2 linked regions of the Oryctolagus cuniculus genome follow. The protein of the gene in region 1 purifies or fractionates together with the protein of each later gene. This does not show direct contact. Links are inferred from orthologs where the notes say so. Each region holds a gene or a part of one and is shown on either strand. Other genes may lie near its edges.

What was found.
Region 2: the proteins of S100B (region 1) and IQGAP1 purify together in Homo sapiens (co-immunoprecipitation; 3 studies listed by BioGRID and IntAct, with this or other methods). This does not show direct contact. The link is inferred for Oryctolagus cuniculus from reciprocal best matches to the Homo sapiens genes S100B and IQGAP1.

Annotation. Positions count from the first base shown.
Region 1 is NC_091435.1:235,992-240,529, forward strand, and holds the start of S100B (protein S100-B), read left to right. Parts: upstream 1-1,438; 5' UTR 1,439-1,585; intron 1,586-4,538. UniProt on the Homo sapiens protein: Small zinc- and- and calcium-binding protein that is highly expressed in astrocytes and constitutes one of the most abundant soluble proteins in brain.
Region 2 is NC_091443.1:100,819,536-100,824,124, reverse strand, and holds the start of IQGAP1 (ras GTPase-activating-like protein IQGAP1), read left to right. Parts: upstream 1-1,739; 5' UTR 1,740-1,884; coding exon 1,885-1,939; intron 1,940-3,868; coding exon 3,869-3,968; intron 3,969-4,589. UniProt on the Homo sapiens protein: Plays a crucial role in regulating the dynamics and assembly of the actin cytoskeleton.

The sequences.
Region 1 (4,538 bases):
CCATAGCAGAGAGCTGGATCAGAAGTGGAGCAGCCGGGACCCAAACTGGAGCCCACATGAGATGCCAGTGCCCCAGGTGGAGGCTTAACCTACTCTGACACAGCACGGACCCCAGAACGCCCATTTTTTACAGCACCCACAAACTGGTTTCTGTCACTCCCCCTCTTCGTGGAGGAACGACACTAAACCCTGCCTAGGCTTCATATCCGAGTCACGGCACCATTATGTCGCTCCCCCTCTTCGTGGAGGAACGACACAGGACCCTGCGTTGTTCTTTCGTCTGCTCGGCCCTCCCCGGGTTTGCTGCTGGTTCTTCCCGGGTTGGCTACCGTCCCTTCCACCTCCGTGGAAGGGCGGTTCCCCCTGGCCACATTCCCCACTTCTGCAGGGGAGCGGCACACCGCCGGCCGGCTCTCTCGGGGGCTGCACAGGTGTTCCCCTTAGATGTTCCTTCAGATAGATGTTCCTGGTGCGTGTTGTCTCTCTCCTCCTTTATAGTCCTCTTCCACCAATCCCAACTCTGCTACCCACACGCCGAGTACGCTGCTCTCCTCCAATCAGGAGCAGGTCCTGCAGCTTGTCAAGTTGGTGAGAGGCAGCTGGGTAGAAGCTGTTTGCTCCTCTCCCAGCGCCATATTGTGGGAGAGCAGATGCATAGAATAAGTCTTAATTCCAGTAACTTAGTCTAGTCTGAGTTGCTCCCAGTTGCTCCCCACAGTTTCCACATGTGAAGATGGCAGCAGGAAGTCTGGACGTGACTCTCCCATGGCTTGTGGAGGCCTCTATGGGAGGCATTCTCTCTACACCTCTGAAAACAGCCTTCGGAGAGGATGTTTCCAAAATTCTGTGCAGCCGTGACAGTCGGTGGCCTTTCAGTTAGGGTGCAGGTGGAGGCCTGGGCTCCACGGGTGCATGTTCTCTGTCTAAGAGACTTGAACAAGGACTTTCCCAAACACGCACTGAGTCCCTGCAGACACTGGGCCCCGCAGCTTTTCTGAGGTGCCGTTTGGCCCAGAGCTGACCACTGCCATACTAATGTCCCCAGAGGCCAGACCAGGAGCGGCTGGCAGACAGAAGCAGCTCGCTGGCCTCTTCATTGGAAACCAGCCCACGGCCACTTCATCTCTTACATTCAGCTGTGCGCGAAGCCTCTCCTTCTTGGCTGTACATTTGCTTTGTTTGAGTCAATTAATCCATGTCCCTCTCCTCTCCCTACCCCCAACCTCGCTTTTAGAGAAACATCAATATTCATATAATATGTAAAAAAAATTAAACACAAAAAGCTGACTCCCCACTTCCTGCCTCATAGGCCCTCTTTCTTCCTTAGTCCCTGTGTGATCTTGGCTTCCCAGCAAGTGTGGTGGGGGCGGGGGGAGCATTTGGTCAATGCGGCCTTGTGTGCAGGCCTGGCTGCCCTGCCGCCTCCGCCCTCAGCCCTGATTGGCTGCCTCGGCTGCAGTGGGACTGCAACAGTCCTCCGCCCTGTCCTCCCTGGAAGGAAGGGATAAGAGGCTGCGAGCCTCAGCCACCACTCGGACGCCGCAGCCGAGAGAGGACGCCTGCAGCAAGAGGTGACCGGGAGGAGGTGAGGACACTCAGGACAAAACTGCTCATTTCTTGGGGATCGGGGTGGGGGTGGCAGAGTTGCAAAGACTGGGAACTCTGGGCTTCTGAGATAACGGCGGCATTTCTCGAGCTTCCGTGGCATCACCTGTGTTAACCTTGACTTTGCTGTTGATCTTGTTCAGCTCTGTGGGCATTTGGTTACCTCAACACTAAGCCAGCAGTGCTTGTGCCTGTGCTGTGATTTCTACAGTTGAGAGAAACCCCAGGTCTAGTGGCATTTCCCCAGAGGCACTGCAAGTACTGACTCTTCCCGAACTCTTGGGAGAGGAAGCTTTCGCTTTCTCTGGGGCTGAGAATCCTGGAGAACCTAATGCTGGCTCACCGCCTGTCACAGGTGTTTCACCCCTCCTGTTCCTCCTCCCTCAGCCCTGGGTTGGTTTCCTAGTTTCCTTCAACTTTGAATGCCAGGGTCCCCAAGTACCCCTGAACAACACCCAGAAATCACACAACAGCTGAGAAGTCTTTACAAATTATGGATTAGGTCGAAGAAAGTGGGTTTTAACTTCCCTAAGTCTTCAGTTTCTTGTGGAGAGAAAACCTGCATCAGAGGAACACTCACCTTATGTGTAATGTGCCTTTTTAAGGAGTTAGGGTCCAAAAGTGCTTTTGTTTTTATATAAAAAGACTAATGTAAAACATTCACAGAATTAAGCAAGGAAAAAAATAGATGCTTATTCCCATTTCTCTTAAAAGGTATGCTATAAGCCATCAGCTATTTCTGAACTCAAAAGGAAGGATTTAACAGGAAAAAATTTAAGTTAATTTGTAATGTGGTTGTGAAGAAAACTGTACTTTATTCATTTATTTTAGTTAGAGGGAGTGAGCTAGAGACAGACAGACGTAGATCTTCTGTCTGCTGGATCACTCTCCAAATGCTCACAGAACCCCAGCACTCGATCCGGTTCTCCCATGTGTGTGGCAGGAAGCAAGTGCAGGAGTCACTGCTGCCGCCTCCCAGTGTGCCATGAGCAGGAAGCTGGAACTGAAAGTGGGCCCAGGACTGCACCCCGGCTCTCAGTATGGGATGCAGCTGTCCCAGGCAGTGTCTGAACTGCTGAACCAAACACCTGCTCCAAGAAAAATACATCTTATGGAGTTCCCTAAGATATGGAATATTTATTTTATGTTTTCCCTTTTTTAAAAAAATCTCATACACTTACATAATTTAATTACCCCTTCCCCAAATTATCACAGACTTTGAGAAGGAAACATCAGTATGATGCAAAGATTATTTTATTCCTTAAAAAATATAGATTATCAATTGAAAACTTGAGCGCAAAGAATAAAAATGTAGGAAGTAGGGGCACAGCAGGTTAACGCCCTGGCCTGAAGCGCTGGCATCCCATATGGGTGTCGGTTCCAGAACTGGCTGCTCCATTTCCAATCCAGCTCTCTGCTGTGGCCTGGGAAAGCAGTGGAAGATGGCCCAGGTCCTTGGGCCCCTGAACCCATGTGGGAGACCCAGAAGAAGCTCCTGGTTCCTGGCTTCAGATTGGTGCAGTTCCAGCCATTGCAGCCAATTGGGGAGTGAATCATCAGATGGAAGACCTCTCTCTCTCTCTTTCTCTCTGCCTCGCTGCCTCTCTTCTCTCTGTGTAACTCTGACTTTCAAATAAAATAAATAAATCTTTTTAAAAAAGTAGGAAGTGTAAATATTTCAATGTATATAAATGGTTCTATCCACCTGTGATATATCAGATTGTTAGGGACTTAAGAGCAAAACATTTACACTGATTTTTAAGAGATGACATATGCAAGATGGGAATGATTTTTAACAACATGTAATTTTAAAACATTTTAAATTATGATAGTGCAGAGGTTCTTCGTTTTTATTTTTAAAGATTTATTTATTTATTTGAAAGGCAGAGTTAGAGGGACAAAGGGAGAGGCAGAGAGAGAAAGATCTTCCACCTGCTGGTTCACTCCCCAAATGGTCACAATGGCCACTGGGCCAGTCTGAAGCCGGGAGCCAGGAGCTTCTTCCCAGTCTGCCATGTGGGTCCAGGGGCCCAAGCACTTGGGCCATCTTCCACTGCTTTCCTGGGCCATAGCAGAGAGCTGAATCAGAAGTGGAGCAGCTGGGACTCGAACCAGTGCCCATATGGGATGCCAGCACCGCAGGCAGCAGCTTTACTCACTAGGCCACAGCATCAGTCTTTGAGGTTCTTATTTAATGATTAGAACTCAAGGCCAACATTTGATAAATTTCTCTGCCTAACCATCTCAGTTTTGTGAACCAACTGATAATCCATTCTTACAAAATATGATACACAGCGATGATTGACCAGATATTCTGTTGCAAACCATGGTATGAGATACCTGTTGTGAGAGAAGTAGGAAGCTTCTTACTTTGATTTCTGCAGAGAAACTCTTTTAAAACAATGACTATATACTAAGTTACAAAGAACATTTTTTCCTAAAAAAAAAAAAAAAAGATTTATTTGAAAGACTTATAGAGAAGCAGATGCAGAGAGAGAGATGTTTGCCACCCGCTGTTTCACTCCCCAAACAGCCGAAATGGCTGGAGCTTTGCCCATCCAAAGCCAGGAGCCAGGCGCTTCTTCTGGGTCTCCCACGTGGGTGCAGGAGCCCAAGGATTTGGGCCATCTTCCACTGCTTTCCCAGGCACATTAGCAGGGAGCCGGATTGGAAGTGGAGCAGCTGGGACTCAAACTGGCGTCCACATGGGGTGCTGGCACTACAGATGGCGGCTTTACCCCACTATAACACAGAGCCAGCCCCTGCAGAGAAACTGTTATCCCTGCATTTGTCCAGGCACAGAAATGAGTAAGTCACGTTCCGCTTCCCCCTCAATGCAGGAGGTCCGTCCACGAAACACCCAAGTTGTGGTCCTGCTGCACACTGTCTACTCCTGTGTCAGGATTACAGCAGTTTAATCATAAAACCTAGGA
Region 2 (4,589 bases), on another chromosome or scaffold:
CTTATGTTTAATTATATTTGTAAATATATTTGATTTATAAGGAATACCAAACTTTTAAAATATTCTATGCTAGACAATTGAAGGAATTAAAATTTGAAAAGATTTACTTATTTATTTATTTGAAAGTCAGAGTTACAGAAAGAGGAGACAGATCTTCCATCTGCTGTTTTGTCCCCAGATGGCCTCAATGGTCAGGGCTGGGCCAGGCCAAAGCCAGGAGCAAGGAGCTTCCCATATGGATGGCAGAGTCCCAAGTACTTGGGCCATCTTCCACTGGTTTCCCAGGCTCATTAGTAGGCAGCTGGCTCCGAAAGTGGAACAGCTGAGACTTGAACCGGCACCCATATGGGATGCCGGGGTTGCAGACAGCGGCTTTACCTGCTACACCGCAATACATTTTAATGTACTGTTACGGACATAAATTTAGGTGTCTGAAGACGTTGCGTTAATGAAGTCAGTTGTTTGGTTTCTGAAACGGGATTGGTAATAGAATAATACAAATTGTAAGGTGAACTCAAAAGCTGAAAAAGGAAATGACTTCGGTAACAATAACAGACCACACCCTTTTTTTCTGCGGGGGTGTTTGTTCTCATAGTTTTTTTTAACTGTCGACTTTAATAGTTTGAAGGAAGCGTGAATAAACTGTAAATGGCGGGTTGGAAAAGGCTGCAGCCAGACTGCGAAGAAGCTTGTTTGGCCTACATAGAAACCTGGACCACATTCTGGAAGGAATCACGAGGTGAAAAAGAAGAAAGCGAAGCACCGGGCATTTTTGGTTTAGGAAGTAGCCCTGGTCGCCGTGAGGCGCTGGCTGGCAGAGGCGACCACGGGGTCATCACAGCGGGGACAGGCGAAGGCGACACGCTGCAGAAATAGCCTGGACCGCACGTGGGTGGGCTGCCCTGACTGGGAACCGAGTACTTCTCCCGATGGCGACCACGGCAGGCGCAGGTGCAACCCGAAGTGTCTGCGGCACCCACAGGTGATACAGTGCTTCTCAGCTGCAAATCCCGAGCGGCTTCCTGACCGTCTGTTTAGCAGTCACCACGGTTTAAAGGCAGCGTAACCTCACCCAGAGCGGGCCCAGGGGCAGTGGGAGAGGGCCGAGCATGGCATTCCTTGGAATACCGGCATTTTAAGGGCAGGCTGCCAGGCGCAGAGAAAGGGGCGTCCGTGACGGGGGTCGAGAGTCCCCCGAAAAGGAACTCGCAGAGAACAAGGGCAAGGACACTAAAGGAAGGGCGTCCAGACAAACGCGGCGCTCCCGTGTTGGCTCCTGCATCGCAAATACTTGAGAGACTGCGCAGTTCCGAACCGGCGAGCGCCGGCGCACCTGGGCGGGACCGGGGCCAGATGCGCGGGCTGGGACCGGGCGTCCCTTACTTAGCACGCTGGGTTCTGCGTGGGTCCAACAGGAACACCGCGAGCCTCGGGGTAAAGGAGGCTAGCTGGGCCAGCAGGGGAAGCCAGCCGGCCCACCGCGTCGACTTCTCAGCCGCCGACCCTACCAGTCCGGCTGCCTGAGCTGCGGGTGGGGCGGCGGCCCCGCAGGGCGGGGCTGCAGCCCGGGAACTCCTTCCCGGCAATCGCCGAACCCAGCACGAGCCCGATTGGCCGGCGGACTCCGCCTCCTTCCTTCCGCCTGCAGAAGACGTAGCGGCTCGCGGGGAGGGGCGGAGCTAGGGGCGGTGCCAGGGCGGGCCCTGACGGGCACGGACACGCCCCCTTTCCGCTGGCTCTGGGCGGGGCCTGCGGGTGGGGCCGGCGGCACGGGGCGGGGCTCGGACACGGGGCAGCCCGCGCACTCGGCAGTCGCTGCAGCTGTCGCCGCCCGCGCCTTCGAGGTCTCACCGCTTCCTCAGCAGAGACCTGGGCTCGGCCGCCATGTCCGCCGCGGACGAGGTTGACGGGCTGGGCGTGGCCCGGCCGCACTATGGCTGTGAGTGAGGGGCTCCGAGGTGCAGGGGCTTCGGCTTCGGGGTCGGGCTTGCTGCCTCGGAGGGGACTCGGCCCCGGTGGGTGGGGCAGGGCGGGTGCGGGCCGCGCGCACCCGGAAGCGCTGGTTCGGCCGGTGGACGGCGAGGCCCCCGGCCCGCGCCTGCTCGGGCTCTGAGGCGGCGGGGAGGACCTCGGCGGCCTCCGTGCCGCGGCCGGGGGAACCCCTCCCGGCGCCTCCCGCCGCCCGGCTCTGCCGAGATTGGGAGCCGGCGCGGGTGAGGTGGCAGCACGGTGCAGGGCGTGCCCCGGGGGCCGGGGGCCGGTGCTCTGCCCGGCTCCGCGGGAACGTGCTGCCCCGAGGGCTGCCTGCCTGCCCGCGCCTGGCCGCGAGGTGCGGTCCCGGGCAAGTCGCTTCAGCTTGCTGGGGCTTTAGTTCGCTTGTAAAGATTTCAAAAGAAAGAAAGAAAAAAAACACCCCAAATCCTCTGACTTCCTCATTTTCTGTAGCCCATCCCTGGGACATTAAATTGTAGGCGGGATACTGACTGCTGTTTTGGGGGGGGTGTCGCTGGGTTCTCGATTTTATTCTCTGGAGGCTGTGTTATTGTTTTAAAGGATGATTTCCCCCACTGACAGTTATACGTGGGGTACTGTGCCACGTTTGTGAAATTAAAGATGAGTAAGACCCGGCCCTGCCTTCGAAGATTTTTTTTTGTTAATCAGAGAGACAGGTGTACACGCTGAGAATGTGCGGTAAAGATAAAAGGTGCATAAGTAGGCGTTCAGGGTGATCGGAGTGAGGAGAAGGGGTCTGGGAAGACGGCCCAGCGCAGGTGGGGACGCTGGAAGGGAGCCTTGAAGGTCAGGGTGGGGCAGGAGGCTGACTTGCAGAGGGAGGAGGGGTGACGGGCGCTGCCTCTCGGTGGTGTGCAGTGCACCGTGGTGGGAGGCAGCACGGGGAGAGGGCGAAGGGCTTCCGGAAAAACTGGGACAGGCCTTGAAGTCCTTGCCAGGCGGTTGGGAGTTTGTTCCCCAGCCTGGCTTGTGTGGAGGAAGCAGATTGCTTCAACCTCAGGCTCTCAGGCTGCAGAACCCAGGCCACTGCCACTTGGGGTGTGCCTGCGTGCGTGCATGCGTGCGTGCTGAACTCACTGAGCCTCAGTTTCCCCAGCTGAAAAACAAGAGTGCTCATCGCTGGGCCTTCAGTGAGCCAAGGCTGTAAGCTGCTCAGCACGGTCACTGCCGCTGGGTCCAGAGCTTCAGGGTCTGGGGAATGATGTGGCTGGACCTGGCGGATAGACAAGGCACAATTGGGCCTAAATAGCAAGTCAGCATTTTTAAGATTTGTTTTATTTTGAAAGACAAAATGACATAGAGAAAGGGAGAGACAGAGAGAAAGAGAACTTCCAGCCACCTGCTCACTTGCCAAGTGGCTGCAGCTGCCGGGGCTGGGCTAGGCCGGGCCTAAGCCAGGGGCGTGGACTCCATCCCAGTCTCCCACGTGGGCCCAAGGACTTGGGCCATGCTCCGGTGCTTTCCCCGGCGCATTAGCAGGGAGCTGGATGGGAAGCAAAGCAGCTGGGACTCTAACCTGTGCTCTGGTATGGGATGCCTGCATGGCAGGCGGTGGCTTAACCTGCTGCGTCACAATGCTGGCCTTTCAAGTCAGTGTTTTGCAAGGCTACACTGAAATGCAGTTCATGCTCGTACTTGTGTTATGCATTTGGAAAAAAGAACAAGATGAGTATAATTGAAACTCCATGGTTCTTTTTTTAGGAAAGCCATTGTAGCGTATCTAGCTGTCTACACAGCCTCCCGCTACCCTGACCTTGCGGGTGACTTGCAGCAATTTGAGGGCTGCCACATTCTCTCACCTCTCAGGACGGTGACCAATCTTGGGGTTCACGAGGTTCTTTCTTTCGCGTTTTAGCTGTCCTGGATAATGAGAGACTCACCGCAGAGGAGATGGATGAAAGGAGACGGCAGAATGTGGCGTACGAGTACCTTTGTCATTTGGAAGAAGCCAAGAGGTAAAGGAGACTGGGAGAGGGGAACTGGTCTGCTGGAAATGTGGTCACATATTCCCATGTGCGTGCCGCAGGTGCGGCGGTGGGACGTTGGGGCCGAGGGGATAAGTATAGGTCAGCCGTTTATTCTTGGGAGCAAGTAGCCTTGACGATCATTTATCATGAAACACTTAGAAATTTCCACGTTGGTGCTGTTAAGTTTTATCCTGAAGGTGCCTGTCTTAGGCTCCACCATCTGTGAGGGAAAAGTCGTATTTTTAGGATTTGAAGTTCTTGGTCTTAAAGTCCTATGAAATCTTCACTGGTTTTGGTTTATCTGTGACTTGAATCCCCTCACTTATGACTCGGGGAGTGTACTTGGTCTGGCAGGCTTAGGAAGTAGCGTTGTTGGGGCATAGCGGGTCAAGGCACCACCTGCAATGCTGGCATCCTATGTGGGCACTGGTTCCTGTCCCAGGGGCTCCACTTCTGATCGATGGCCCTGCCACCCCCCTGGGAGACCCGGATGAAGCTTCTGAAACTTTTGGCTTCAGCTTGGCCCAGGCCTGGCCATCTGGGGAGTGAACTGGTAAATGGAAGATGTCACTCTCTAACTTTTACTTTGAAATAAATGAATCTTTAAGA